Alligator mississippiensis: one gene and its partners. The protein of the gene in region 4 binds, or shares a complex with, the protein of the main gene of each other region. Links are inferred from orthologs where the notes say so. Each region holds a gene or a part of one and is shown on either strand. Other genes may lie near its edges. The genes, in order: NANOS1, ZFP36, DDX6 and CNOT1.

Region 1 (6,849 bases), on a different chromosome or scaffold from region 4:
CTCTGTGGAGTAAAAGAAGTCACCAGATAGATGCAGCCTGTTTCACTTCCCAAGCAGCCTCTACTGAGATGGGGCAGCAGAGGGCGCATTTCCCCTTCTTCTTTCCATTAAATGAGGTCTTACAAGTCTCTCTTTCCTCCAGGAGGATTCAAAACAGCAGCTTTCTGTTTACTTACGGAGAAAAAAAAAGGATGAGCAGCAAGCAGCTGAGCTCGTGGGAGCCACAACAATCTGTCAGGGGGAAGGACAGCCAGGGGCTTGGCACCTTATTCACCGAGAGGAATTCACCACTTTGTGGCTTTCACAGAAATTCTCCAGTTGAACAACATGTATTAAAAAACATAATAAAAAAAAATAATAAAGACCACTCCTCATGAAGCACAGGGCAACTGCAGGTATGGCCATTACAGCTCCCAGACCCATCTCTGGGAGGGAGCAGTTCGCCTACAGATGCAAGGTCCAGGTGCGGGTGTGGGGAAAACAAGACAGAGGCAGCAGAGGTGAAGTCTGTGATGCCTTTACTTTCATTGTATAAAAACAAAAACAAAAACCCCCAAATCCAAACAGCTCTATTGCCAGCTGTGGCCAGTACAGGCGATATGACCAACCGGGGAAAACAGGGGATGGATGAAAGGGGGGAGCATTGATTTTAGACCCCTTCCCTCCAATAACACAGTACAATGAAACCCAGATTTCATTTAAAAAACAAACACAAACAACAACTGGCGAGCGACCACGGTAGCTCCTCACCCTCCCACCCACCCCCCCCATCATGACACTGCCGGCCTCATCCCCCACCCCCCACCGCACAGCAGCCCTCACTGCATCCGCTGGACCGACCTACCTACCTACTTACAACCACCGGGCCGGGTAGTGCCACCCCCCTCCAGCCCATGGCAGAGCACTCTCCCTCGGCTCCGGGAAGCCGTAAGACCAGGGAGGGAGGGAAGGAGGGTGGGCGCCACCGCGAAACGTTTGAGATTAAAAAAACAAAAAAGCCACACAAAAAAACAACCCCCCCCCACCCCAAAAAAACCCTCTTCTCAAATCCAGTCCTCGGCACATTTCTTTAAACTCATCTCTTCTCTGTTTAAAATTAGATATATAGATTTCCCCCCCATCCCACCCCACCCCACCCACCCTCTATAGCATCAGCTCATCCTGCGCCTCCCTCGGGCCAGACCCCGCGTCCATCCGGAGTCCTTGCACCGCATCAGCCTGGGGCGCCGCTCCGAGTCCGGCTGCGGGGCTCCGCGTTAAAACCCCGGTGCCGGCGGGCAGTGCCGGGGCCGGGCCGGCCCGCCTAGCGCAGCTTCTTGCCCAAGACGGTCCTGGCGTGTTTGAGCGGCGCCTTGCCCTGCGCCTTGGAGAGCGGGCAGTACTTGATGGTGTGCGCATTGTCCCCGCTGGCCCCGCACAGCGGGCACGTGTAGCGGCGCAGCACCGGGCACAGCACGCGGCCGTCGGGGCCCTTGAGGATGTGCGTGGTGTACAGCGCCACCGCCTCCTTGTTGTTCCGGCAGAAGACGCACACCTGCAGCTCGGGCTTCAGCAGCCGCGCGGGCGGCGCCGCCCAGCCCCAGCCCCAGCCCGGCGGCGAGCGCGCCCGGGCCCGGGCCCGCCGGCCGGCCGCGCAGTCGAGGAGCACGGCGGCGGGGCCGGCGCGGCCGGGGCAGGGGCGGCAGGCGGCGAAGCGCTCCTCCAGCAGCCCGCGGTGGCCGCACAGCTCCAGCGCGTGCAGGTCCAGCGCGCCCTCGAAGTAGGGCGCCTCCTCCTCGTCCTCCTCCTCGTCGTCCTCCTCGTCCTCGTCCTCCGCGGCCGGCCCTCCTGGTGCGGGCGCGGCGCGGAAGCCCTTGTCGTCGCCCACCGCCTTGGTGATGAGCGTGGCCAGCCCCAGGTAGTCGTTCCAGGAGTTGAAGGCGTTGCCGGGGCCCCGGGCGCCGCAGCGGCCGCCCGGCACGAACTCCACGGCCGGGGGGCGCTGCTCCGGCTCCATCGGCAGCCTGCAGCGCCCCGCACGTCTGTGCGCGCTGCGCCCGCGCGCCGCTCTAGTAGGCGCGTTCGGGGGCGAGGGCGCGGCTCGGCCCAAGGGCCGCGCTGTAATTGGCCAGCGGCCAAGGCGGCCCCCCTAGCCGCGCTCCCTCATTGGCTGCGGCGCGCGGCGGCGTTCCATCGTAGGCAGGGTCCGGAGCGCAGGTGGAGCCTGGCTCTCGCCGCGGTGTGTTTAGTCCCTGTCTCTGGGGCTGGCCGCAGAGGATGCGGGTCTAGCGGGCAGCTGAGGGGCCAGGGTCGCTCTGTAGGCAGCTGTTGCTTCTAAATAGGTCGTGTCTCTCTTTGTTTTTAGATTCGGTGCAAACACTTTTATAGCCCGTGGAGTCCGGGGTGGATGGGGGGGCTCTAAAAAGTGGGATGTGGAAAGTGCTGCAGTGTCTCCCTTACTCATCTTTGGGTTTTTTTTCCCCTTTATCTTGTATTTTTCTAATTGCTACCTGTTTACATTCTCACTGACATCCCTCCACACTTTTAGCTTCTCTTAGTCCTTGGAGTCTCTGAGCAGCAAGGGACTCCCTATGCTGGAAGAAGGGTGATTGCACCCAAAAGCCGGGTAAGAATTTTTTCCCAACTACTCAGCTGGCGGAATAAAAGAGATCACATCTATTGGAAGAACCTTGCCTGTGCGTCATCCCACAACTCTCAACATAGAGTTTTCCCCAATTAAAACAGAAGTAAAGAGTTGCTTTGCTAATAGGACAGGGGCCAAGGGCAATATCATTGCTTTTAAAATGGAAGCAGAAATGAGGCTTTTTTCTTTGGAACGTGCTTTTATTTTCCACTATGCAGAGAAAGGAAAAACACAACAAAACAGGATCAAAACATACTGTTTCATTGGCCCTGTCCTCATGAGAGTTAAATGTCTCCATCAGCATCTTGGCAGTGGGTCCAGTGAACGCTTCACTGGAAGTTATTTCCACACCTGAGCTAATTTTCACCTGAGTGAATGGGTTTAGCTAGAGTTAAGGAGGGTCTACAATGCTCTTAAATAGTAGCTGGGTACCAGGAGCAGCTAATAGGCAGCAGAATTGGTGAGAAATGACAGCTTGATTAGCAGAACATGAAAACAGTGAAAAAGGAGAGAGGTTGTTCACACCTGTGGAATTCACTCTTTAAAGAATTGAGTAGATTAGAACGAGCCATGAAGTCAATTGAGTCTCTCACTGCTGCCAGACTAGAAATGCTGCTGCCTGGCAGCTGGTTTTAAATTCTAGGTATACCAGGAATCAAAGGAGGGTGCAACTGGACCACTGCACCCCCTGGATCCACCTGTGGTTATGCACCCGAAAAACATCCTCACCTGGACTCTCGCACATAACCGTGCTATTCCAAGCGGTATTAGGGGCAGTGACTGGACAACAGATGCCTCCCCAGAGTCGGGTACTTTCTGGATGAGTAGAGCTTTCTGATTTTAGAAAACTGCTGTGTTTGATTCTACCCCAAACCAATTTTACCCCAAAAGGCCACAAATATGAGAGAGTTTGTGTAGGGTAACTAGGAACTTCACTAGTTGGTGGGGCTCAGATAAGCTGCTCTGGAAGGTGCACAACAGAACCTGAGCATAGCTTGAGTCTGACTTGACTGTTCCTACGACCCACAAATGTTGTCACATGTACATGCAATATAAACTAAAAGGAAGAGTGAGGGATAGCAATATATATATATAACTGAGAAACTCCACAACTCAGGTTGCCCAGCATAGTTGAGAAGAACTGGGAGCCCAGCCGGCCATGAAAAAAAGTCCTATGAAATAGCTTTAAAAATAAAGCTTTTAATTACAGTTGGCCTTTTCCTGGCCGCCTGCTGTTTATAGCTGTCTTGCAGGAGAGAAGCATCACTTGCAACACTGCTACTTGGTTTCTAACCCTACTTGAGGCTAACTGAGGATTTAAAAAAAAAGATCTATTGTGCTGAAAAATATTGTTAGGTGTAAATCTGAAATGATGATTTTTTTTAAAGGAGCATGAAGACACATATTTATCTCTCTCTCTCTCTTTCTGTATATATATACTCACACCTGTTCTGAAGATTAAGTGCCTAAATACCTTTGAGGATCTGGGCCTAGGTGCCTCATCCTGTGGCCTGAGGTAGAAAATCTATTGGGAGAGATTTTTGCAGCTGCAGAAATCATTGGCAACTTCCCTTGTATCAAAAATGGGTCGCTAACTGGCTGGAGGGCCACACCCAGAGAGCAGTGGTGGATGGGTCATTTTTGACCTGGAGGGATGTGGGCAGTGGGGTCCCCCAGGGCTCGGTCCTTGGACCTGCGCTGTTCAACATCTTCATCAGTGACTTGGACGAGGGGGTAAAAAGCACCCTATTCAAATTTGCTGACGACACTAAGATGTGGGGGGATGTGGGCACGCTAGAAGGGAGGAATAGGCTGCAATTGGACCTAGACAGGTTACAGGGGTGGGTGGATGAGAACAAGATGGGTTTCAACACTGACAAGTGCAAGGTGCTGCACCTGGGGAGGAAGAACCAGCAGCACGCCTACAGGCTGGGGAACTCCCTTCTTGTCATTGCAGAGGCAGAAAAGGATCTTGGAGTCATTATTGATGCCAAAATGAACATAGGCCTACAGCGTGGGGATGCGGTCAGCAAGGTCAACCGCACCTTGTCGTGCATCCACAGATGCATCTCAAGCAGGTCCAAGCAGGTGATCCTCCCCCTCTATGCGGCACTGGTCAGGCCACAGCTGGAGTACTGCGTCCAGTTCTGGGCACCGCACTTCAGGAGGGATGGGGACAGCATTGAGAGGGACCTGCATGGTCAGGGGTCAGCAGGGCAGGCCCTATGAGGAGAGGCTATGGGACCCGAACCTGTTCAGCTTCCACAAGAGAAGGCTGAGGGGGGATCTAGTGGCCTGTTACAAACTAGTCAGAGGGGACCAGCAGGCACTGGGGGAGTCCCTGTTCCCCCGAGCACTACTAGGAGTGACTAGAAATAACAGTCACAAGCTGGCAGAGGGTAGATTCAGACTAGACATCAGGAAGTACTACTTCACAGTCAGGGCGGCTAGGACCTGGAACCAACTTCCAAGGTAAGTGGTGCTGGCTCCTACCCTGGGGGTCTTTAAGAGGAGGTTAGATGAACACCTTGCTGGGGTCGTTTGACCCCAGTACTTTTTCTTGCCATGGCAGGGGGTTGGACTTGATGACTGCTCAGGTCCCTTCTGACCCTACCTACTATGAAACTAAGATGCCTTAATGGGAAGAGTGCAGCTCTGGAAGGTGTCATCTAATCACTTGGGTGCTTGCATTTCCTCCTTAACATCTGTCTGCAGGAAGTTGGTGCAGGTATGCAACTTCATTGGTGCCAGAAAAAGTCTCTGACTGATGGGAAGTAACAGTCTGACAGAGATCTCTCTATGTCAGTGCATGCTTTGCCCACTGCAAATGTGAAGTCCTTGGGGGCAGAGACCGTTTTTGGTGCGTCACTGGGCTTCTGAGCATTATCACGGTACAAATAAATACTATTGATCAATAATAAAATACCACTTTACGACACTTTATAATATTATATAATAATACCAAACTTTATAAGGCTTTTGATCAGATCCTGAGAAAGGGCTGTGTTCTGTTGTGGTATGGATGAATTTGGCTTATAGAAATCAGACTCTCAAATGGGTTGTCAAACAAATAATGTTAATTTTGAATAAGAGGGTTTAGAAATACAACTGCAGTTAAAACATATCACTAATTTCAAGCCCAAGGTCAGAATGGTAGGGCTAAACTGAGCAGGTTCAGCTACCTTTAATGAAATAAATCTTGCCAGTTGTCACCAGGACCTTGCTTGTATCTGACAGACAGTTCCCTGGCAATTAAACAAGGATTCTAATGTGGCTTGTTTGCAACTTAAATTTTGAAATTTAATAAACTGCAATATCAAAATAACTCTTGAGGGCCCGATTTTCATTACACTCTGGCAATTTGGTGGCAGCCTGAAGTGGGCTTTTAAGTGGGTGTATTGTTTGCAAAGGGCCTATTCATATGATTGTAGTTGCTGGAGCTATTAACAGCTTTAATAGTTACTCTTTTGGGGTGTTACAGCAGCGGAGCTGTTATCACCACAGGGGAAGGTTCTGCACGCTGAACTCAATGGACATTTTGACCTGCTTTCAATAGTGCAGGATCATGCCTTGTGTCTAGTTCTGTTTCAAGCTGCTACATTTTATGCTAGAGCAAGAGAAGCCTTAAGGGTATATTCAATGAGCCATACAGGTGCTGCCTGCCTCTCTGAGCACAAATTAATGGCCTGATTTTCAGAGGTGCCAAACACCTGCAGCTTCTACTGATGTCAGTGGAAATGGCAAAGCCATCAGCTAAATCAGGTCTTCAGGAGGGCAGCACCTTTGTTAAGTCCTAGCTTTCCCTGCTCATTCTCTTTTTACTTAGCTGTTGATAGCAGCCAGTCTCAAAAAGCAAATGGTCTTATGCCATTTGTGCTGTAATGCTTGGGTGCAAGTATCAAAGTCAGAAAGGGAAAAGGCTGGTTAGGTCATTCTGTGCCTTCCTACCACGTGTGGGGAGCATTACGAAGAGCAGAGGAATGTGAAAAGTATTTCTGCTATGGAACTGCTATAAAAGATGGAGACCTATTGTTATCACTGCAGTAGCACTGACCTCGTGTCCTCTGGCACTCTGACAGCTAATGTGTGTTGACAGTACATGTACATGAAATATGTTGAGAGAAATATTCCCTATAATTGCTTTAAATTAAGCTTTCATGTTCCATATGTCAAATGAATGTGTTCCTTGCTAGTGCTAGGCTCTCAGATGTACGGTATCTGTACAA
Region 2 (7,474 bases), on a different chromosome or scaffold from region 4:
GGAAGGGGTCAGCGAGGAGTCGGCTTGGCCCCAGCCCCCCAGCAGGGCCTGGTGCCCCCCTCACCTATGCAGCTTCTAGCACTGCCCCCACTACCCCAAACCCTGCAGGGACTGCGGCATCGGCCCCCCCCACCAACCCCAGGGCCGGGGGCAAGGACCCAGGCGTCCGGGCGGGTTATTTCCAAGCCGCCGAGCGGAGGCTGGAGCTGGGCCCGGCTTCCGGCCGGGCCCCGGGGAGGAGGGAAGAGCCATGACGAGGCCTCGGCCGAGTCTTGGCCCCTCTTAGGCTGGGGGCGGGGGGGAAAATCAGCTGCGATAGCCCAGAGCAGGAAGCGTGTGTGGGGGGGTGGGGGGGCAGCAACAGCACCACAAACACGCACAGCCACAGCACAACACACAGACACCTGACTGACACGGACACACACACACAGGCACAGGTGCGTGCCTGACACACCAGAAACACACACATCAGAGATGGGGACAGAAGGGGGACACAAGAGACACACCCCAGAGACACGCACACACAAATGTAACACAAAAGACACACTAGACACAGATGTGACACGGAAGGCACACAAGACACACCTGACACGCCAGAGACGCACAACATAGAGATGGACGCAAACACAAGAAAGACACACGCCAGAGACAGGGGTGCATACATGACATGGAAACACCCACGACGCAGAGACCAGCACAAACACGACACCAAAGACACGCGCACGCGCACACGCAGCTTCTGTATCTCTGATTTACTTCGTTTTAAAGGTTCGTCTCTACCTGCTTTCTGCCGCCACAGACATCCAGGACACACGCGCGCGCACACACACACGCGCCCCAGCATCCAGGGGCAATGCACAGACACACAGAACCCAAGTGTTCAGATCTCTCTCTCATGCACACACATCCCAAGCATCCAGGACACACACACAAGTACACACACACACACACAGAACCCAGGCATCTGGGACACACACAAGTACACAAACACATACATGCCACCCCCACCAGCCTACACCAACTTTCCTTTCCAGCTCGGGACAGGAAGAGCCCCCTTCCCCGACCCCAATCACCCCCTGCCTGGGGCAGGAAGATCCCCTTGCCCGACCCAGGCTGGGGCAGAGTCCAGGCAGCCTGTGGGGGGGGGGGGGGAGTAAAGGCCTTGGGGGGGAAAGGAGGGGTCCGGACCTGGGGCTCAGCCCTGCCCGCACCACTCTCAGCCCCTCCAGACAGAGAAATATCCTCCCCCAAAAACCATAGAGGGGCAATTACAACAACCTGCCCCCCCCACAAACAAGCCTACCCCTCTGCCCCGTCCCTAGATCTGCTCTACCCCCCGCCAGCCCCGTCGCCTCCATGCAGCAGAGCTGGGGGGGTGGGAATAGCAAAGAAATGCCCAATCTGGGGGTAACAGCAAAGATTTACCCCTTTTGGGGATCCCCCGGAGGGGCAAAGACAAGGATCGGCCCCACCCAGCCCGGCCGGGCCCCGGCCCCAGCCCCTCACCTCGCACAGGGCCTTGACATCCAGGAGGGAGCTCATGGCGTGGCCGTGGGGGCTGGGGGCTGCGCTGTCAGTGGGACCCCCAGAGAGGAGCAGGCAGAAGCTGGGGTCAGCACTTGGGGCTGGGGCTATATAGGCTGAAGCCCCGCCCCCTCAGCGATGACCTCATCGCTGTTGTAAGAGGCCCTGAAAAAAAAGCAAGCCACCAGAGAATAGGGTAAAACCTGGGGAAGGGAAGGGAAGGGAAGGGAAGGGAAGGGCTGGGCGTGGGGGGGAGGGAGAAAGGGGGGGCCTGGATCAGGATTGGGCCCAGGGTCTGGGCTGAGGGGGAAGGGGGTGGAGAGAAAGGGGGGCCAGGATCAGGGCCACAGGAGCCCCGGGGGATGGGGCAGCACGGGGGGAAGGGGGGGTCTGGATCAGGATTGGGCCCAGGGTCTGGGGAGCCCTGGGGAGGGGGCAACGGGGGGGTAAGAGAGAAAGGGGGGCCTGGATCAGGATTGGGGTGGGGCAGCAACAGCCCCAGACAAGGGCTGGACTGGGGTGGGGGCAAGTTCCCACACCCCTCTAGGGTCGCACACACTTGTGCAAGGTCCTTGATGAGGGGCTGTGTCCCCTGCCCACCCCATGGTCCCTTGGCTGGGCACAACACACACACACACACACACACACACACACACACACACACCCCTGGCAATACGTGCAGCCCTGCCCCTCCCCCTCAGGTACCGGCCGGGCGGGGGTGCGATGAGTTTGCACCAGGCCTCAGCCTGCATCTCCCTGCCTCGTGCCCCCCCACCCCGTGCGAGGCCGCCGGAGCCCGTACGTGTGGCTAGGGGGGTGACTCAGTGCCCGTTCCCGGAACTACCGGGGCCCCGGGGCTCCCCTGGCTTGCACAAACCACCAGGCCAGGGCCCTGCCTGCTCTCGTGCAAGGCCCCTCCAAACCCCGTGCAAGACCCCCAACCAGGCCCCGTGCAAGCTGCCTCCTGCCCCACGTGCGAGGCTCCTGCCCCCACTCCCAGGAGCTCCCAGCCTCAGCGGTGCCCCGTGCCGCGCTCGGGGCTGGACGAAGCAGGCCGGAGGCTCCCCACGACTCCTGGGCTCCGCGCGGGGAGGCGGGACAGGGGGGTCTGTAGTCCCCGGGGTCTCCCCCCCCTGCGCGGGGGGAGCTCACAACTGTGCCATCATCAAGCCAGGGGTGGGGGGGCCCGCTTGTCCCTCGCACGGCCGTGCAAGGCGCTGCTTCCTCGTGCGTTGCACGAGGGGGTCACTCGGGGTACCTGGGGTTTGGTGCGGGGGGGCGCAGGGGGAACAGCTGCCTGCCCCCCGCCCCGCACTGCTGCTTGTGCCCGCACACAGCCCCCGTGCGAGCGCGAGCGTGTCTCGCACGAGGGCACAGGGCACCCGAGCTCCCTGGGACAGCCTCTCCCGGTGCTCCCAGTTTCTCTTCGCCTCTGAGTCAGGTCCCGGTTCCTGGAAGTGAATCACGGGCGCGGGCACGAGCACGAGCCCGAGCCCGGCCCCGCCCGCCCGCCCCGGGAAGCCCCTGGCCCGGGCCCAGCCCCCGCATCTGCCGCCAGCTGTGCACCCGCATCCAGCTGTGACCGGGGGGAGGGGGCACCGGCCTGCCCCCCTTTGCCCGGGTGAATCACGACGTTTCACAAGAGCCGGGATCGGGATCGGGATCTAGGACGGGGGCGTGGGGAGACGGGGGGGCTGAGTCAGCGCCAGTGGCTATAAATAGCCGGGTGCCCCCCCCAAACCAGTGAGGTCGGGGGGGCGGGGGGGCAAGTCGGGCAGGGAAAGGCTTGGGACTGCCGGACACCTGGGCTCCCCCCGCGACCCTGACCCCGACCCCGACCCCGAGCCGCCGCCTGTGCTGGGAATGCGGTGACGCAATCAGGGAAGGCCCCGCCCCCCCGCCGGTCCCGGGTTACACAATGAGCCCCGCCCCCGTGACTCATCCCCCCCCAGTCCCCTCCCCCCCCGCCGACGGGGCATTTCCCAGCAGGGAGTCCGGCTCCCCTGCTCTAACCACTCGCCCGCGCTGCCCGGCCCGGCCCGGGGACGGGGACGAGGCCGGGCCCGGGCAGGAAGGGGTTAAGCCGCGCCGGGGCCAGGTGAGCTGGCAAACAATGAGCTCATGGGGCGGAGCCAGGAGCTGGGCGGCGCGGGGCTTAGGTGCACTACGGTACCGAGAGCCCGGCTGCCCTGGCTCCCGGGGGAAACTGAGGCAGGGCCTGTTGCACAAGTGTTGGGAGCTGCGCGCGCTTCTAGGTGTGCGGCTCTGCCCCTTGCACTAGTGGCTGGACGGGCGTGCACAGCCGCAGCCCCGCTGCTCTGCCCCTCGCACGAGGATCTGGAGCCACGTGGGCAGACAGCTCTGCTTCTGGCACGAGCACCAGGAGCCACACGCTGCCCTGTGCAGGGGTGTCTGGCGCTGTACACGCTCGTGGGCGTGCAGCTCTGCCCCTTGCGCTAGTCACCGGAAAGGCTCGTGCACATGCACGACCCCGCAGCTCTGCCTCTTGCATGAGTGTCCAGAGCCGCACGCATGGCTCTGCCCTTTGCACTAGTGCTGGGAAAGGCACTGTGACCTCCGGACCCCGAACCCAGCGCAGGGCCACGTTGTACAACGGGGCCACGAGTGTTTGGAGACGGAGGCAAAGGGCAGAGGCCGCTGGTCTCCTCTCCCCTCGGCCGGATCCGTGGGACAATGCTCGTGAGCACACGCTGCCCAGGGCCCAGCACTCGCACGACTGGGCTCCTGCCATGCAGCCCAAGGGGGTGTGCATCTCACACAATAGCTGCACCAGTGAGTTGGGGCCTGGGGCACAGAGCAGGGCCCTTCACACGAGGGGCACTAGTGAGTGGAGGAGAGTGCCAGGAGCTGCACGCACACAGCCCCTCACACGAGTGCCAGGAGCTGCACGTGCACAACCAAGCCCTCTGCACAAGTGCCAGGAGCTGCACACGCAGAGCACAGCCTCTTGCACGCATGGCAGGAGCTGCACATGCACAATCCAGTCCCCTGCACATGTGCCAGGACCTGCACCCACACAAACCCAGTGCCTTACATGAGTGGCAGGAACTGCACAACCACAGCCCAGCCCTTTGCTCAGGTGCCAGGAGCTGCACACACGCTGTCAGGCCTCTCAAGTCCTGGCACAGCAGTGAATTCTGGGAAGCCCCCGGGAGAGGTGGGGGGCCCTTCCTCTTCCAGGAACCAGGCGCGGCTCCGGCTTCCTGCTCCAGGCAGCTCCGGAGCCGGAGCTGGGAATTCCCCTGCTCCCAGCCTGGGCAGCGGGAATGTCCCCAGCGCTGGTGCATCGAGAGGCAGCCGGCCCGCGCCCCCGCTCCCCGCCACAGCCCCTGGCCTCGGGGGCCAGCACCGGGAGGCCTCGTACGAGGCTTTGCACAGATCCAGGGCAGAGGTTGGGGCCCTTTGTGCGAGGACCTGCACTCACTCCAAGGGCAGGGATTGAGGGCCCTCGTGCGAGGGCTTGCACTGATTCCAAGGGCAGGGATTGAAGCCCCTTGTGAGAGGAGTTGCACAGACCCAGAGGTAGACAGGGCCTTTCGTGCGAGGCTTTTCACAGATCCACAGGCAAAGAGCAGGGCCCCTCACACAAGCCTCCGCCTGCCTCCATTGTGCACGTGTGTGTGAGTGTTGTGAGCGTATCTTCCGTGTGTCTCTAGTGAGCACACATGCATGCCTGTGCTAGGGAGGCGCATCACATGTGTGTGCGTGCATGTGCACGCACAAATGTGGACATCAATGTGTCCCAGGTTTGCCTTGTGCATGCATGTGGAGAGGGGGCAGTTGCATGTGATACATGTGACAGGCGTGTGTACAGAAGAGCATGTGCACAGAGGTGAGCGCCTGTGTGAGCACGTGTGCATGGGCATGGGGCAAAATGATGGGGCGTGCACATGCCTGGGGGCCTGCACACAGGCGAGGGAGTGCATGCACACGCTGTAGCACAGGCCGTGTGCACATGCATGTTGATTCATACACATTTGAATCATGCAACCAGTATGCACACGTGTCATGCAGGACACGTGCATAGCACATTGGGGGAGAAGTGTGGGTGCCCAAGTGTCATGCAGGACAAGTGTGTTTAGCACATGGCAGGGAGCACCACTGTGTGCACGTGTGTCACTCAGGACACACACTTAGCACAACAGGAGGCCCCCCGCTGTGTGCACACACATCGTGCAGCACACACATGCTTAGCATGTGGCGGGCACCTGCTGCGTGCGCACACGCAGGACACACTTGCTCAGCACATGGGGGGCAGGGAGCACCTGCTTCAGGCCTACGCACACAGCCTGGGGGCTTGCACACGCTTGTGACTGAGGTGGGCACGGGGCCCTGCCAGTGGCGCTGCCTGAGGGGGCACCAGTGAGTTCCCGGTGCCCACCCTGCCCCTAGCCCTTCGGCGCCTTGCCCGCTTGGTTCTGCTTTTCCAGGCTGTTGAAAGCCCCGTTCCATGGGCGTGAAAACCCCTGTGACGCCAGCCGGGCGTGCGAGCGCTCTCGCACGGGAAGTGGCATGTGAAGCCCGCTAGGGGACGGGGGGGCACAGGGAGAGTTAATGGGGTCACAGGGAGCAGGGGTGTGCTGGCCCTGCCCCCTGCTGCGCCAGCCATGACGTGCGCACACGCGTGTGGTTCACGTGGTGGCGCTTGCTTGTAAACACTGGGGGAGGAAGGGGCCAGCCCGGAGGGGACTGAGGGGCCCGAGCGCCCGGGTTCCCCGTTGTAGTGGGGTGGGGATGGGGGGTCCAGGCGCCCGGGTCTCCGCCTTGACGGTGCTAACGGGAGGGGGTTGGGGGTCCCTGCCCTGGTGGGTGGGGATGGGGGGTCCGGGCACCCGGGTCTCCGCCTTGACGGTGCTAACGGGAGGGGGTTGGGGGTCCCTGCCCTGGTGGGTGGGGATGGGGGGTCCGGGCACCCGGGTCTCCGCCTTGACGGTGCTAACGGGAGGGGGTTGGGGGTCCCTGCCCCGGTGGGTGGGGATGGGGGGTCTGGGCACCCGGGTCTCCGCCTTGACGGTGCTAACGGGAGGGGGTTGGGGGTCCCTGCCCTGGTGGGTGGGGATGGGGGGTCCGGGCACCCGGGTCTCCGCCTTGACGGTGCTAACGGGAGGGGGTTGGGGGTCCCTGCCCCGGTGGGTGGGGATGGGGGGTCCGGGCACCCGGGTCTCCGCCTTGACGGTGCTAACGGGAGGGGGTTGGGGGTCCCTGCCCTGGTGGGTGGGGATGGGAGGGCTCCCGGGGGCCCGGGTTCCCCTCCAGCCCGCTCGCTGGGCAAGTCCCGGGCCCGGTGACGTGGGCACAGGCGCAGCGCCAGCCCCGGCAATGCTGACACAGGCCTTTGCGCTCTCGCACCCGGTGCCAGGACAACACGAGCCGTTGCCCTGGCAATGCCGGCGTGTTTGTGCCAGGAAACCTGGACCGGGGCCAGGGGCAGGTGGGGAAACCGAGGCAGCGGCGGGGAAGTGGCGGGGTGAGTCAGGCCCGACCGCTGGTGCCCAGAGGGGACTCGAGGACACTCTGCTCCCAGAGCAGGAACAGGGCCCCCAGGCGCGCGGGCTCCCGGGCCCCGACCCGTTCCAAGGGGCCTGCACCCCACGCTCGCACACGTGTGCAAACGCCCACAATCCCCGACCCCCATCACAGTTACAGCCCTTCGCATGGGGGGGCTGGGATCTCCTGCGAGGGGGCTGCCTGTTCCACCTGGGGGGGATCAGCCCCTTCCTTGCCCCTTGTTGCCCCCGGGGTGGGGGGGGCACGGGGGGGAAATGGCCTCCAGCAGCCCCAGAAAGCCCCGGCTTGCAGCAGGGAACAGGCTGTCCCCTGCCGTGCCCCCCGCCCGCCGCCCAGAATAGAGGCAGGAAATGAGGTCAGCGGCCCACGGGGAGCCGCCGTGGCCTGGCTCCTGTTTGCAAACAGCCGTCACTGCCTCCCC
Region 3 (7,859 bases), on a different chromosome or scaffold from region 4:
AAAACTATCAGAACAAAATGGCTTTAAGTTTCATCACCTTGAAACCGCCAGCAACAGCATGGTACCTTGACCTAGGAGTGCATGGATACCCATCTTCCCCCTGCCTCACTTAGTATTTAAACAAGGTGCTGCTTGAGGCCAAGGCTCTCAAGGAAAAAAAACCAAACATAAAATGATTAAGAGGTTCCAGTAAGTTAAAAAGATAGTTGTCAGAGAAAAGCACTAACCTAGAAAACAAAGTATACTGCCATTTTTTTAAATCAAAGTTCACATTGCCAACATTATAATAAATTAATAGCAGTATAAAAAAAACAGTCTTCAACACAAGAAACCTAACAACTTTCCTCAATATCTGCAGCTTGTTTAAAACACCACATACATTTACGTAAATACTTACTTAATAGTGGTGGTCATACTCTGTGCTTGCTGTTGAGTGCCATTATTGATTGTGTTGGCATTTTTCAGCTGGTTCATCTGTTGCTGGGTTTGTGTGCCCCCACCTCCTGGGCCCCCACTGGGTTTTACAGGGCCTCTCAGCTGCCCATTCTGACTGGATAGACCCATTATAACAGGGTTCTCTGTTCTCGCCGTGCTCATGTTTGTTTTTAAAGATGTCTTTTTAGACTTCAAAACTTTGAAAGTCAGTACAGAAACTGTAATAACAGTTTATAAGACTCTCCAAAACGAAGAGATAAATAAGTCTTGCTCAATATATGAGTCCTTTATTGCAATGCAGGCAAGCACCTGTAAGTCACTCAACAGTAAGTAGTAACTTGCTCTGATGCACTGTGGATCAACTTTTTTAAAAAAAGCCCTCTAACAAAGTTGAGTTATATCTGAATCACTCACTTCAATCTGAAAAAGAAGTAAAAACACACAATTAACACACAGATCTTTTGGTGTAAATAACTCACATTTCCATATTTGACAGGACACTGCACACTTTTGGTATGAGACAGCACTTCCAGAACAAGTACACAGTACTTCAAATGAAAAATAAGTGCCACCAATGAATAGTGCTCCCCTTGTTATTTCTAACTGAACAAAGAACTAACATCTACTGGCACCTAGTGAAATTCTGCTTAACAAAAAAAGAGAAAAACAAAACAAAAAGAACAATAACAATCCTACTGCTTTCATGATACTGCATGTGAACTGCTTTGCAGACAGACATCCTGCAACACAGGCTCAAGTCATGCAACTATTTTACCCATCTTGCAATAAAGCTGCTTTTGAAGAAGAACAAAAGAAAGGGTTAACACCATATAATCATTTGTGACAGGAAAACACCACCACAAAATTTATCTTCTGGGAGGATCTGGGGAGTCACGCCATTGCTTGAATCACTAATTTAATATCTTAATGGGGGGAGAAGAGTGCACTGATCATTTGAAACAGATGTCCCGGGTACCTGTTAAGTCAGGGCTTAGGTTTAAACAAATAAGCTACTAGACATGCTTAAACTGCTTTGCTCACACCAAACCATCCAATGCCAGCTTCCTGGCTCTACTCTACTTCAGAATTAGAAGACATTTTTAATGGTTAACTTAGTACCTGCCTCAAATTAGAAATAAGATGCATTTGTTTTAGATCACTAGTTTCCTGTTACCTTCAAAATGCCAGTAAATGAACAAACACATGGTGTCCTCAGAGGATACATAGAAAACAAATGTAAAACGTAGGAGCATAGCATTGGGAAGGTAACGATAGTAAGCTAGTCAACGCAGTAGCTTAACACACACCCACAATTTGCACCCTGCAGGTAGAAAAAAAATGAATTTATTAAATAAACAGGGATGAAAGGACCCCAATTTGCAGCATGAAGTTAGGGGTTTAAAGGGCTACCACCTTTTCAAAACAAGACCTGCAAGGGTAGCTGTACAGGTTCGGTGTCACTGCACTGCCGCACTTTTTAGTTAGCCAGTGTAAACAGAAGGAACCTGTTGATCAACGCGCGCCCCACGCTGTTTATGACAGGTACGTGCCTTCTTCCTGCGATAAAAACCCACCGACAAGATTCAAATATAACCATGCTTAAAAGGGCAAAATCTCTGTCTGAATCTTCTGCCATCTCTCATTTCACAAACGAATTTTCCAAATTTAAAAAAATATCTATTTTCCCCAATTAGTCTTCCAGAGCACAGACTAAAGCTGATCTGGGCAGTGAACTAAAGCAAGTGACTGTGGTTCTGCCAGACACGCGGACTAAGCCCTGGCGAGAATTTCTTCCTTGCACATTTCAGCTGCAGGTACTTCACGTGTGCAAAGCAAACACAAGCGCAGTCCCGCGGGGACCGGGCGCCCATGCAGGAGGCAGCTGCGGAGCAGCGTGGGCCGGGCCGGGCCGGGCCGGAGCGGTCAGGCAGCCCTGCGCGCCCCGTCACGGGAGAAGCGCGGCGAGACGCGCAGCCCCCCGCCCCCGCGAGACCAGGGCCCGGCGGACCAGGGACGCGAACAAAGGCCGCGCCGCGGCACGAGCCGCCGCACCCTGGCGCCACGCGCTGCCCGGCCGCTTCTCCCCTAGCCCCGGCCCGGCCCGGCCCGGCCCGGCCCGGCGTCCTCCTCCCCACGCGCCGCATCCCGAGGAGACAAAGGAGCGCGGCGGCTCCACTCCCGCTGCCGGGCCTCGGCGCCCCCGGCGGGGCGGGCCGGGCCGGGCCGGGCCGGGCCGCGCCGCCCGTGGAGCTGCCTGCGCAGCGCCGGGCGCCCGCAGACAATGGGCCGCCGCCGGGCGCCGTCCCCGCGGGCAGCCCGGACACGGGCCGGGGCCTCCCGCCCGCCCCTTCCCCACCCGGGCCCGGCCCAGGCCCCGGTCCTTGCGCAGCGCCGCGCCCGAGCGGCCCAGCCTGGCCCGGGCCCCCGCGGGGGAGGCCGCAGCCCGCCGCGCCCGCCCGGCCCCGCTCACCGCCGCCGGCCGCGCCCCGCCCGCCCGGGTAGAAAATCCTCCGGCCGCCGCCGCTCGGTGCCTTGTTATGGCGACTCGACGCTCCAAGATGGCGGCTTCCTCCTTCCTCCCGGCGCCGCCGCCCCGCCCCTCAGCGCCGCCGCCCCGCCCCGCGCGTCACGTCGCGTCACGTCACGCCGCCGGCCCCGCCCCGCTACGCCAGCCTGCGGCGACACGCCCCCGCCGCTACGTCACGCCGCCGCGAGCCCGCCTGCTGCCACGTGCATCGGCCCCGCCTCGCCCGAGCCCCGCAGTGTCCGCTAGGGGCGCTCGCGGCCCGGCAGGGTCGGCCTGGCCCCCCCGGCAGCGGGAGCCGCCGAGTCCCCGGGCGCTAGCGAGGGCCCGGGCCGGGCCGCGCGGGGAGCGCAGGGCAGCGCGCGGGCCTGGCCGCTGCCCCCGGCCGTGGCCGGCGCTGCTTTGCATGCGTCTCGCTCCCGCTTTCAGTTCTTGTTTTGGTGCACAGGCCCCGGGGCTGCCCCCGCCCAGGTGCTCCGCACGCCACGCGCCTGCAGCTCCCGGGGGAACCGGCCGGGCCTTCCCAAGGCCCCGGGGACGTGCAGCTGCCGCTCCCCGGCCCGTTCCCACGGTGCGTCCCGCGGGCGGGCGGGGGCGCAGGCCGGGCCCGCTTCCCGCACGAGGCCCGCGCAGCGGGAACCCCGTCCCGGGCGGTGCGGACGCGCCTGGCCCGGCCGCGCGCTCGGGCGCCGGCTGCGTGGGGAGCGGGGCCGCGCCCGGCGCTTCCCGGAGCCGCCCCGGCCGCGCTGCCCTGCCAGCGGGGGGCTCAACGGCGGCAGGAGACCCGCTCCGCTCCGCGTCGGCCCGTGCGGCTCCCGTGCCTGGGGCTGCCACGGCCCCTGCCTCCGCCGGCCCTTCTTGCCTTGGGACGTGCAGTTGCGCGCCCTCCCTCTCGCACCCTAACGTTTCCCTCCTCCCAAGGTGCGGTGCCGCCGGCCCCCCTGCTTGGGGAGAGGCTGGTCTGTCTGCGGTGCCATGTGCCACCCTACTCGGGCACAAAAAGAAGACGGAAGAAGGTGAAGGCGAAGGCGCAGGGCTGGCCCCGTGTGACCAGGCAGGTCACGTTCTCTCACCGAGTTTCAGTCTCTCCCACTTCAAGAGGAGCGTGGAGAATCCGAATTACACGTGCGTGAGCGCAGCCCCGACAGGACGCGTCCAGTCCCTACTCTTGCAGGTGCAATGGCACAACACCCCTTTCATGAAACAATCGTGCCCACCTTAACAGTATTTTTCAGCCCTGCGGCCCTGACCGGGAAGCTGTTCCAGAACCTCAGTGCTGCAACAGTTAGAAACTGGAATAATCCACAGCCAGTTCATGCCTGTTTGTTTCAGAGCCAACGCTGTCCTGGAGTTTCAGATCGCTTTCCCTCCCCGTGTTTACCCCCTAGCTTATTTACAGGGCAAAATCCTATTCCCTCAGCTTTTGTTGTGCCAGGATCAATAAGACAAACTCAGGCTTCAGCTTTCCCATGGGACAAAGCCTGTTATCCTGGGGTCTTGCACACCACAAGCCCACTGTCCCACTTATAGTACCAGCAAAGTATCCGACAGAGAGAACCCCCCCTACCGACACACACTTGGCAGGGCCTCAGTCCCAGTTTCACGGCCATCCTTGTGACCCTTCTACGCATCTATTGCAGTTTTAATTAATCTTTCAGTGAACGGATGATCAAGTATTGTGCATGGTATTCTAAGGAAGTCTCGCGTGCGTCTTGTATGATGACACTGGTACGTCCCTAGCTCAACTGCAAATATCTTGTCTCATATATTCTCCAGGCAAGAATTTTTGTGGGTGATATCTTTTATTGAACTAACTGTCTAGCTGGGAAGGACACAGGCTTCCAGGTACCAATGTACGCTTTCTCAGGTCTCTGATAGTCTAGGATAGCATCTGACTTTTTCAAACTGTCTCACATTGGTGCCTGTCATTCCATGATTAACTAAACACCCAGATCTTTTTCCTCTGCTGTCCTTTCCCACTGATGAGCCCCTGCTTCTAGCAGACATTCCTGTTATTAGTCTCTAAGTGCATGACCATGCACTCTACTATTAAATGTCATCCCATTTCTATTGCTCCAGTCCATAAGCTCCTCCACTTCTTTCTATCTGACCCATATTGTTCACTTGTATTGAAGCTGCCTCGCAACTTTGGGATGACAGTGAAATCCATTAGCACACTTTCACTATTTTCTGCTGAAGTCACTCATAATGGATTTTAAATAGGACTGATTCCAGGACTTATCCTTACAGAACTCCACTAGTAACCGGCCTTCCGGCCCCAGACCTCCTCTTTCAAAACCTACCCGTTGTCTTCTCTTTAGTCAGTTCCTCATCTACCTTACAGTCCTTCTACAGATCCCTGTTTCCTCTGCTTCAGCTAAGAGTTTCCTAAGTGACACCATATCGGACACTTTACTAAGGTCCAAATAGATTAGATCTCCTGGGTTTCCTTGGTTATGTTACCAAAAAAATAAAGTACTAGGCTCCCCTGCCAAAATCAACCTCTGGCAAACCTATGTTCAATTGTATTCACTTTCCATTTACATCTATGTTTTCTATTCTTTTGCTCAAACATTGTTTGAAAGCTTCATCCTATGGAGGTCAGACCTTGATACCTCCCTTCCCTTATCCCCCACCGCCCCCCACCCTTCCTAAATGCCGGTACTAAATCTGTCGTTCTCCAGTCACACAGTACTATCCCAGACTTGAGACATTAACTTCCTTGCTGACAGAGGTCTTTCGGTAGCATCCTCGCTGACACACCTGGGATGTCAGGGGCTAGTTCTTTCAGAATTCAGAGATGGAGATTATTAGTCCCCATCACTCGAGCACTTTTAGCGCCTTGATTTTCTTTCCCACCCGTAATGTGGCAGTTTCCCTTTCCATGTCTTCATTTCTATTAGACTAACAGCAACATTTCTAACAGCAACATGCTTAAATGAAAACTGAGACAAGTACATGTCATTTTTGGATTATCTTTAACTTGCCTAAACCTCTGTACATAGCAGCTCTACTCTTGCTTTTCTTCAGCTCCATTTTTTTCCTTGCTGAAATTTTTTTTGCTTTGTGGTTTTATTTCTTTCCTTTGCAAGGTCTAACTCAGCTTGACTTTTGGCAATTCTTATTTTTATCCTTACATTTCCTGATAGCTAAGACACAGCTTTCTTGTCAATCAGCCCTTTTTCCATTCTTTATAGCTTCTCTCTTGGTGCCTAATACCTCTTCTGGGAGGCTGGACTGGAGCCAGGTTTTCTCCCCACTGGGATAAGAGGTCCATACTTTTTGCACCTGCCTTGTAAAGAAATTCCACGCTTCTGCATTCAAGTCCTTGAGCTCTTTAGTCCATCTAATTCCACTCATTCGTTCTCTTTGTTCAGTGGTTTTCAACCCCGGGGGTCTGCAAAAGATGAGTATGGTCAAAAGTACGTGAATACCCACCCCTACAATTCAAAGGAGTGTGCACCTCCATTCAAATGTTTTTAGGGGTCCGCAAATGAAAAAAGGTTGAAAACCACTGTCTTATTTCATCTTAGTTCTCAATGTTTTCCCTTTAAAAATGGAGTATCTTAATCTTAAAGACCTACTTTTGTTTATTCTTGCATTTAAAATACAACCAAATACATTTATTATTGCTTGACCCAACATTGTTTTTCAGGACTAGATCTCCTATAATGGCTTTGCTGCTTTTTAACTCATACCTTGTGGGGAAATACCAGTGCTGAGTTAAACATAAAGTTGGGTAGCATCCTTGTCCTTCCCCTCCTCGCCCCAACCTTATATACCATCTTTCTTTCAATAAATAGCTGTCCTTTGCTGAGGCCAGAGAGAGGGAGCTGGCCAGGGTGACAAAGCTCCTGTTCAAGCAGCCGAGATCCCCACCATGCTCTTCCAGAAGGAAGGTTTGGACTGAGCCTGGACTCTGGCAGCAGCAAATCGCTCACCCGACCTGAACTCTCCCCCGCAGGTTGCAGAGCATGTTTTGCTGACCAGCAAGCAGCATGCGCTCGGTCTTGGGACTGGTGACAGCCCCTTTGCCCCTCACTGCTGTGCGCAGAACGCCCTCTCGCTCCGTCGGGCCTGGTGACATTCGGGCGTGATCACAGCGAGCCGTCCTGCCAGGGCCTTGCAGGAAAGGATGCCTCGCTCCTCAGTTCCCTCCAATGTGCACTCCCGCCACTTCTGTTTCCTGTGGAGCTGGGTGCCACGTCTGGATTTTTGGCTGCCAAAGAGGCTGGGATTTTTTGTGGAGTCAGGCTGCAGGTCATGCTTCTCTCCTGGCTGGCCATCTCCTCCCAGCACCGTTCTGACAGCTGGGCTGTGTGGAGAAGCCAGGCACCGCCTGCGTCTGCAGAAGACTGGTTGCAGCAAGGGGTCTGGGTCTGTCTGGGTCTAAACAATTCGTAGCTGAGCAGCCCGCCACCTAAGCATGACAAGTGTAGAGAGGGTGGTGTGGTAGGCTCTGTCTCATCCTGTCCTCTGAGCCCACAGGACAGCCACAAACGCTTACTTGGTGCCTCTGGGACGGGGCCTCTGCTCTGCCTCTGGGGAGGCTGCCCCGCAGCTCTCATTTCTGGGAGATTTCCAGCCCCAGGTTCCCAGTGCTCAGCCCTCCATTTCCAATTAACACCACAGGCTTTGAGATGGCTGTTTGACTGCAGACTTCCAAGTGCTTTATCAAGGTTATCAAAACCATGATCGCTGGTTTGCTCAGGGGGGAAAGAGAGGCATAGGGAGGACAGAGGAACCTGCAGAAGGCCGTGCACAGAGCTGAGAATAAAGCCTAAATCATTGGAGCTGCAATGCACGGTATACCTGGCTTCTCCAACCGGGGCTCTTCTTCCTCCATGCTTGCATCCTCACAGAGCCTCTACAGCCCAGCCTCCAGTGCACAGTTAGCTAA
Region 4 (7,983 bases):
CTCCTGGTGAAACTTGACTTCCTTTCATGTGTAGGAGACTACTTCACACATTTTAGCTAACATTCACATTAGAATACTTTAAACAAAGCTCTGACACATACCTGCATGAAAGTTACACTGTAAAACTATTATTGCTTTTAAAATTTATGGGTAAGCAAAACTGCATACCTGAACTGTCATCACTTGACCTAAGTTATTGATTAATTTTACTGGCATCTTGGATTTGAACCAAATATTGTTTACAGGTTAGCAAGTCACAACAATCTCAGTTAACCGGAACCAAATTATCTGGATTTTCTAGAATGACAGATTTATTTTACATTACAACTATACAGATAAACAATTGAGCTAACTCAACTTGCATGAGAGCACTCACTTAAAATAAGTGCTAAAAATCTGTTATGTCCCATCCCCCCCCGCCCCCCAAGCTATTTAACAAGTACAGTTTCAGCAGTCAACATGTAAGTGCAGGGTGGGGGGGTTACATTTCAGCCACAAGCTCTCTCTAAACACAACTACCTTGCATTTTTTGTTAGAAGTCAATCACAGCTAGTCAGCCTCATTCTCTAGCTGCTTTTCTTGGAATACATCATGGCAAAGAAACTTTTTGGTAGTTTCAAGTTTTTGAAAATGTGACACAATAAAGAATTCCAGGATAAATCCACTACCTGTTTTCATTTCAGTCAAACAAAAGTTTTAAAGTTTCTTCCGATTACCATAGTCAGTAAGGGAATCATAAACCCATCTTTAAGAGGCCAGGAAAGAGAACTTCTATTTTTTTAGCTCTAGTGTTTTTTCCAAGTGTTGGCAATAAATGTTATAACATGGCTTAAAGGAAAACCTCCATAACAACAATATAACCTTCAATGTTAACTGCATATAGAAACAAACCCGAGCACTGAGGTAAAACTACATTTCTCCATTCTGGTTTTCCCAGCATTATGGGTTTACTGATAACTAGTCATTACATCACAAGGTTTTACTACATTTTTCCCCTCAATAGCAGCAAGGTAATCTTACTCTGCTTTATTTAACACTACCTATTCTTATGCCTGAAACATAAGAATAGCCATGTTAGCATTTCATTCCCAGATGAGAAATTTTAAATCAATTACTCTCTGAAAGAATGAAGCAAGTCTCCCTCCCAAGAAAGATACAGGGAGATCAAAACAAGTGCTCTGGCAATGAAAGGGGGTCAGTTGTAGAAGCGTATGCACACAGAAGTTGAGGACAGCACCCAATAAATGTCCAGGAGGGAGGATGAAAAGCATATTTCTATGTAACGAAGTTGACTTCCTGTTCACAAGCTAATTACTTCATCTGGACTAATTTTGCTTCAAGTTTCATCAATCCAAGATACTGTAGTTACCTTGGAAACAGGAATCAAAAGATACTGACAGCTGTTGTTGAGTTGTCGTGCTTCCTACCATACTCCTTAAGAGCAGAGCTCAGACTAGATAGTGTCTAAAGAGACAAAACTTGACACTTCTACATTTTAAAGTGCATGTTTTATGTCACACAAGCATCAGCTTTTGTACCTGTTAAATAAGTTTAAGATCTGCTCATTCCTACTGTAGTTATTAACACAACCAAACCTTAGACAAGCTGTTGGTTAATAGTCCCTGCTTTATGCCAAGGCCTAGAGAAAGAAGAGCCTGGAATTATAAATACACATATAAAATAAAACTACATTTAAGAAGATCCTACGAAGTTCCGAAATAAGCAAGTCTTGGAATTACGCAACTTCTTTCCACATTTTCAACTGGGTGACAAATTTAGAAGTCCAGGTGCATGGTGCTGCCATTTCTGGTTTTCTGGATAACTAGGGCCACATCTTCAGATTAGTCTCGTTTAACAACCAAATCCACTGTTTAGGTATTTATTTGTTTTTTCAACAGGCTGAGATATGGCTTCAACCCTGTCTTCTAAACTCTGGACTATAAGTTACCATGTAATAGCCCACAATTTGCTTGCACAGGAGTCAAAGTTAACATGTCCAGAATGCTAAGATCTTTTAAAGGGAAAAGTAACTTGTGATCCACAAAAGTTTAGTCTTCAGGAAAGGGCTTAAAGAGGAAAAAGGAAAATGAAATGCTAAGGGTTCAGGTGTCAATTAAGAATGAACTAGATTTGTTTGACTACTTAGAGCAAGTTTTGCCCAATGTATTTTTTCCCCAGTGACCTGCTGTTTTGTATACTGAACGCTTCCCCCTCCACGCTCCACAAAGCTAAAGCTTACCACAAGAAAATGATGCATATACTTAAAGTGTACAGAAAACCCCTATTCAAAATTGCTTTTCAGGTTTGTTTTTTTAAACAAGAAAACACAAGCAGAAAACCGGGACCTTTGAACCAAATGGCCAACTAGCGCCAGTCCGGCATACTTCGATGCCACGAGTGGATCCGTGGAGAAGCGGGCACACGTCGCGCTGCCTCGAGGCTCTCCGCCAGGGGTCACTCATCGGGGCCCGGATTCAACCCGCTCGGCACTCTCGGGCCCCCGGCCCGCACGCAGGCCGCGCGCGCGGCAGGACAGCGGGGGAAAGGAGCCCGAGCCGCTCCGGGACTCTCCCTGGCGCCTGCAGGCGGCGGGACGGCCCTGGACTCACTCCCCTCCCCGCCAGAGCCCGCCCAGACAGCAGCGAAGAGACCAGCCTGCGCAGTCTCGCACGCTGCTGACCCCGGAAACTGCCGGGCCTCAGGGCCTGAGCCTGGGGCTCCCCCTGCGGGAAGCTCTGCGCCGGCCCCTACGCCACGCTCCCTCCACGGGACGCGCCCGGCCCGGCCCGGCCCGGCCCCGCCCGCCCGCGATCGGCTCCCGCCGGGTCCCGCCTAGGTGTTACTACACTAGGCCTGCAGCCCCCGACCTGTGCCGCCCCGCGGCCCCTGCCTCCGCGGCCGGCCGCTCACCTGAGGCGCGGGGGCGGGCGGGGCCGGGGCTGGAGCGGGCTCTGCTCAGCCTCTCGCGCTGCCTGTGTCCGCCGCTCGCCTCCGCTGGCTCAATACAAAATGGCGGCGGGGTCGCGCGCTCACGTCGCGGCCTTTCCCCTCCCCCGTCCCCTCGCGGCACGCAGCGGGCGGGGCCCCTCCGCCTGTGTACGCCGAGCCCGCCCAATCGCCGCACAGAGCTAGCGCCCTCGCGCCCGGAATCCGTCCAATCAGAGAAGGGCGCTGCTTAAGTGGGGGGGGGGGAAGGAAGTCCAACACACATTTCCTCCCCCTCCCCACCCCGGAGTTAGCGGCGGGCTCGGATTGGCTGGGAAGGTTCACCACGCCTTCCGTCCCTCTAGCCAATCACGAAACAGCTCTCAGCAAGGAAGGACTTTAACCCTTAGCGCCTGCGTAAACGAGGCTGGTTGGCCGGCGGAGTAGGAAACTGAGTGCGCAGTACCGGCTAATGATAGCGGAGTTTGGCTGAGCTGGGCGTCGGTGACAGCAGGGGCTGGAAGGGGCTGTCAGCTCCCTCCCCCCCGCCAGGGGCAGCACCGACTCACGCTCCACTCAGACCCTTCCCTGCTGCCCAGTGGTACAGTCCGACGCCTGTGCACATGGCCTGCCTCTTCCTGGATTACAGTGGTACAGTCCGCCCTCCAGCGTTGTGCAGTGGTACAACCCGTCGTCCTCTCACTGCCCCATTAGTCCCACTCAGATGTCTCACAGTGGCATGGCGCATGCGCGTCTCCCCACACCCCGTGGTACAATCTCCCCCGCCTTTTTCCATCACGTGACCTCGGCTCGCCCGGCTGCCTTGTGCGGGCTGCGCTGCCAGCGGCCCAGGTTGGAGGTTTGGAGACGCCCCCTCGACGTCCCACGTGGCAGCAAAGCGGCCCAGCTCGCCAGCCCAGGTCCTCCGTGTGCTGCTGCCTTGCTCTCTGTTCCGTCCCTGGACGTGAGCAGAGCGACTAACGCGGGGCTGGCTCGGGCAGGGGCTTGAACCAAATGACTTTCAGGATTATGCCAGCCCCGTTCATCACCCGGTTTCTGAAAGGTGGCAACAGGCCTACCCAGGCATCAGTGTCGGATCTGCCAGGTGTGGAGCTGAGTGAGCCAGACATCCTACCCATTGCTTTGGGCTGGAAAATGCCACTCTGAAAGTACACCTGAAAAGCAGCAGGGCATTTAAGATATCCTGCAGCCAACAAAGCAGGTGGTGTAAACCTAACTCAGCCCCCTTAACAGGAGAGAGATGATCCTGCCTCAGGCAGGAGGTTGGACTAGGTGACCTCTGGAGCTCCCTTCCAGCCCTGCTTCTCTGGGATTCTGTGGTTTCCCATACAGCTCCCTTTTCTTTCCATTTTTAAATGCCTGGAGGGCAAAAGGTGAGGTGCTCAATCTAAATGCAGTATGTATTTGGAATCAGCCCTGTAACAAAATAACATAGGGACAGGTAGGAACATGGCAGCATGAATCAGGGCTCTGATGTAGGCCTTGAGGGTGACAGTACTATTAAATTCAATGAGGGAGTGAAGTAAAGCAGGTGGTACGGTGGCACCAGGCTAACACTTGACAAACTATTGTGTTGGGAGGGAATGTTCCTTCATGATTTCCTTGCTCAGTGTGCTCATGGCATAGAAAAAATTGTTCAAACATCTAAGGTTTAACAAGAGACCCTTGATAAGCTGGCTGATGGCAACAGCCTGAGGGACAGCCAGCATGGGTTTGTCATGGGTAGGTCTTACCTGACCAATCTCATCTCTTTCTATGACCAAGTGACATATCACCTGGACAAGGGAGAAGAGATTGATGTCATATATCTGGACTTTAAAAAAGCGTTTGATCTGGTGTCCCATGATCTCATAGAAAAATTGGACTATTGCGGTCTCGGCTACACCACAGTCAGATGTCTGGGACCCAGAGAATAGTAGTTGATGGAAGTGAATCATTATGGTGCTCCATGACCAGTGGTGTCCCCCAAGGCTCTGTCCTTGGACTGGTTCTCTAACATTGTTATCAACGATGTGGACATTGGTGTCAGAAGCACACTGGCCAAGTTCACTGATGACACTAAACTTTGGGGCATAGTGTCCACACCTGAGGACCAGCTAGTGATCCAGGCTGACTTGGATAAGCTTAGTAAGTGGGAGGATATAAACCTGAGGATGTTCAATACCGAAAAATGCAAGGCACTTCACCTCGGGGCAAGGAAAAAAAACCCGCAGTACACTTATAGGCTCAGCAGTGCTACGCTTGCTAGCACCACAGCTGAAAGAGACTTGGGAGTCATGACTGACCACAGATGAGCATGAGCCACCAATGTGATGTTGCAGCTGGTAAAGCAAATAAAACTCTGGCTTGCATCCATAGATGCTTCTCAAGTAAATCTCAGGATGTCATCCTCCCGCTGTACAGTGTAACGAGGCCATCAACAAGGCCAGTCGCACCTTGTCGTGCATTAGCACGTGCATGACTAATAGAACAAAGGAGGTGATGCTCCCCTCTATGTGGCACTGGTCAGGCCGCAGTTGGAGTACTGTGTCCAGTTTTGGGTGCCGCACTTCAAGAGGGACATGGGGAATCTGGAGAGGGTCCAGAGGAGGGCCACTCGCATGGTTAGTGACCTTCGTGATAGACAGTACGGGGGGAGGTTGAGAGAGCTGAATCTCTTCAGCCTTCACAAGAGATGGCTGAGGGGAGATCTTGTGGCCGCCTATAAATTTATTAGGGGAGGTCAACGGGGAATAGGGGAAGCGCTGTTTACTAAGGCGCCCCAGGGAGTGACTAGGAATAATGGGTGTAAACTAGTTGAGAGTGGATTTAGGTTAGATATTAGGAAGACATTTTTCATAGAAAGGGTGGCCAGGATCTGGAATGGGCTTCCAAGAGAGGTGGTGCTATCACCTAGCTTGGAGGTCTTCAAGAAGAGGCTAGATAGTCACCTGGCTGGGGTCATCTGACCTCAGTCCTCTTTCCTGCCAGGGGCAGGGAGTCGGACACGATGATCCATTGTGGTCCCTTCCGACTCTACAATCTATGAATCTATGAATCTACTTGGCCTTGGCAAGGCTGCAGCTGGAGTACTGCATCCAATTCTGGGCTCCAGCATTCAAGAAGGATGCCAAGAAGCTTGAGAGAGTCCAGAAGAGAGCCACGCGCATGATCAGAGGGCAAGAGAATAGGCCTTATGATAAGAGGCTGAGAGCCATGAGACTCTTCATCCTAGAAAAGTGCAGGCTCAGGGGTGATCTTGTGGTTGCCTATAAATACGTAAGGGATGTGCATCAGGATCTGGGGGAACGTCTGTTCACCAGAGCACCCCAAAAGATAGCAAGGACCAATAAACTCCTCCATGACTGTTTTAGGCTGGACAAGGAAAAACTTCTTTACTGTCCGAGCCCCCAAGGCCTGGAATAGACTCCCTCCAGAAGTGGTGCAGGCACCTACTCTGGACTCATTCAAGAAACGTTTGGATGCTTATCATGCTGGGATCCTTTGATCCTAGCTGACTTCCTGCTCCTGGGGCAGAGGGCTGGACTTCATGATCTTCAAGGTGCCTTCCAGCCCTAATGTCTATGAATCTGTAAGAGCTATTTGAGGATGGGAAAGGGGGAATTTCCTATTGGCTTTTACATTTTTAATTGCTACATGAAATTGTTGAGCTGAAAGACATGGGTGGGGGGCACATACCCCCCAGACTCGTGCATGGGGTGGGGGTGGATGCAGGCTGCTCACTGTGGGTTCGGGGCTCCCCAACCTGATGCCCTGCCCCCAGGTACACTGCGCTAGTCATGGGGATGCGCCCCTTGCCTGCCCAGCAGCAGTGGGGGTGGCAGCAGCAGCATGGAGTTATGTCCCCTGCTGCTGCCGGGCAGGCAGGAGGCACTTGTCCAGTGTGGGGCTCCTGAGGGAAAGGTAGCAGGGCAGGGAGCCTGGAGCCCTCAGCAGGCAGTCTGCATCCTCCCCCTGCTCCACTTGGCTCTGGTCTAGTAGTGCTAGCAGAGGGAGGAGGAAGGTAGGCATGTGTCCCACCCTCCCCTTTTGAAGTGATAGTCACCCTATGGAGAGGAGGTTGACTTGGAAGTGGAGGGCGCCAACGTAGCCCGATAATATAAATCGCCTGACATAACTGATGCTCCATTTTGCACTGCTTGATCTGCAAAGCTTTCCTAAAAAGCAGAAGGGACAACCTGGTTGTTGTAAGACCAGTTGGAGAATAGTTGAGCATCCAATAAACCTTCTTCTGCCTTTAGTATAATGATTGAAATCAGGAGTTGGCAACCTATGGCCCACAGGGCTTTACCTGCACTGTGGCACAGTAGTTGGGCTGCTGGAAGCTTCACTTGTGATGTACTAGGCCCAAACAGCAGGGAAAGCAGCAGCAGTGGCTACTGGGTCTTAGTGCACAGCTGCCTTGGACCTGAGCTGGGTCATTCTGACCCACTGTTGAAAAAATGTTGCCTACTGCTGTTTTAAAGGAACTGTTTGAAACCAAGTAGATGCAGTTGTTTCACTGGATTCCTCATTTCCCAAACCAGTCTTGCTCAGAGATCCACATCTCACCTCTCTCTATTCCTTGCTTTACCTACTAGGCAGGCTTCTTGCCTAGTGTTCCTTGGCTGCAGCCACACTTGCAATATTTGTTTGGAACACTTGGGGGCAACCAGTGAGCTTGGAGAATCCACTTTGCCTTCAAATCTTCTTTGACCCTCTAGCCAGTGGCACAGAACTTCTGAAAAATTTGGCCTTACTGATTCTAAGGAAAGGGTTTTTTTAATCTCTTCTATTGGACCAACTGTATACCTGGGAGAGATGTTTGATAAGCTTCCATACATCTGGTCCAATAAAAGAGATCACCAAAAACAGATCACCCTTGTCTCTTGTACATTTCCTGGACCATCACAGCTACAACACTCCAACCTTACTCCAGGGATACACACTATATAGAAGGGACAGGACTGGGAGGAAAGGTGGGGGGGGTCGCCCTCTATGTCAGAGAGCAACTCACATTGTCAAGAATTAGCTTTGGGGCAGAGGAAGGTCAGGCAG

The links.
Region 1: the proteins of CNOT1 (region 4) and NANOS1 are in contact, whole or in part, in a crystal structure (PDB 4CQO), measured with the Homo sapiens proteins. The link is inferred for Alligator mississippiensis from reciprocal best matches to the Homo sapiens genes CNOT1 and NANOS1. Residues at the interface, in NP_057368.3 of Homo sapiens: Ile2327, Ile2330, Lys2331, Trp2338, Glu2350, Phe2353, Gln2354, Val2356, Ala2357, Met2361; in NP_955631.1 of Homo sapiens: Phe40, Ser41, Ser42, Trp43, Tyr46, Leu47, Leu49, Thr51.
Region 2: the proteins of CNOT1 (region 4) and ZFP36 are in contact, whole or in part, in a crystal structure (PDB 4J8S), measured with the Homo sapiens proteins. The link is inferred for Alligator mississippiensis from reciprocal best matches to the Homo sapiens genes CNOT1 and ZFP36. Residues at the interface, in NP_057368.3 of Homo sapiens: Gln821, Glu835, Asp845, Ala848, Asn849, Phe852, Gln853, Tyr856, Asn894, Glu897, Glu898, Phe901, Gln904, Tyr905, Pro906, Glu909; in NP_003398.3 of Homo sapiens: Arg314, Arg315, Leu316, Pro317, Ile318, Phe319, Arg321, Ile322, Ser323, Val324, Ser325.
Region 3: the proteins of CNOT1 (region 4) and DDX6 are in contact, whole or in part, in a crystal structure (PDB 4CRW), measured with the Homo sapiens proteins. The link is inferred for Alligator mississippiensis from reciprocal best matches to the Homo sapiens genes CNOT1 and DDX6. Residues at the interface, in NP_057368.3 of Homo sapiens: Glu1097, Ala1100, Phe1101, Phe1103, Asn1104, Asn1105, Leu1106, Ser1107, Ser1109, Asn1110, Lys1114, Lys1137, Arg1138, Ile1141, Glu1142, Asn1144, Phe1145, Leu1148, Tyr1149; in NP_001244120.1 of Homo sapiens: Phe329, Ser330, Arg331, Leu332, Gln333, Ile334, Asn335, Gln336, Leu357, Gly358, Tyr359, Ser360, Leu384, Arg386, Asn387, Ala402.

What each region holds. Positions count from the first base shown.
Region 1 is NC_081829.1:87,817,736-87,824,584, forward strand, and holds NANOS1 (nanos homolog 1), read right to left. Parts: upstream 2,062-6,849; 5' UTR 1,997-2,061; coding exon 1,304-1,996; 3' UTR 502-1,303; downstream 1-501. UniProt on the Homo sapiens protein: May act as a translational repressor which regulates translation of specific mRNAs by forming a complex with PUM2 that associates with the 3'-UTR of mRNA targets. Capable of interfering with the proadhesive and anti-invasive functions of E-cadherin.
Region 2 is NC_081838.1:1,300,806-1,308,279, reverse strand, and holds the start of ZFP36 (mRNA decay activator protein ZFP36), read right to left. Parts: upstream 3,011-7,474; 5' UTR 2,783-3,010; intron 1,811-2,782; exon of another isoform or gene 1,690-1,810; 5' UTR 1,543-1,689; coding exon 1,507-1,542; intron 1-1,506. UniProt on the Homo sapiens protein: Zinc-finger RNA-binding protein that destabilizes several cytoplasmic AU-rich element (ARE)-containing mRNA transcripts by promoting their poly(A) tail removal or deadenylation, and hence provide a mechanism for attenuating protein synthesis.
Region 3 is NC_081839.1:35,214,628-35,222,486, reverse strand, and holds the start of DDX6 (probable ATP-dependent RNA helicase DDX6), read right to left. Parts: upstream 3,014-7,859; 5' UTR 2,906-3,013; intron 856-2,905; 5' UTR 598-855; coding exon 398-597; intron 1-397.
Region 4 is NC_081833.1:39,165,356-39,173,338, forward strand, and holds the start of CNOT1 (CCR4-NOT transcription complex subunit 1), read right to left. Parts: upstream 3,014-7,983; 5' UTR 2,911-3,013; intron 1-2,910.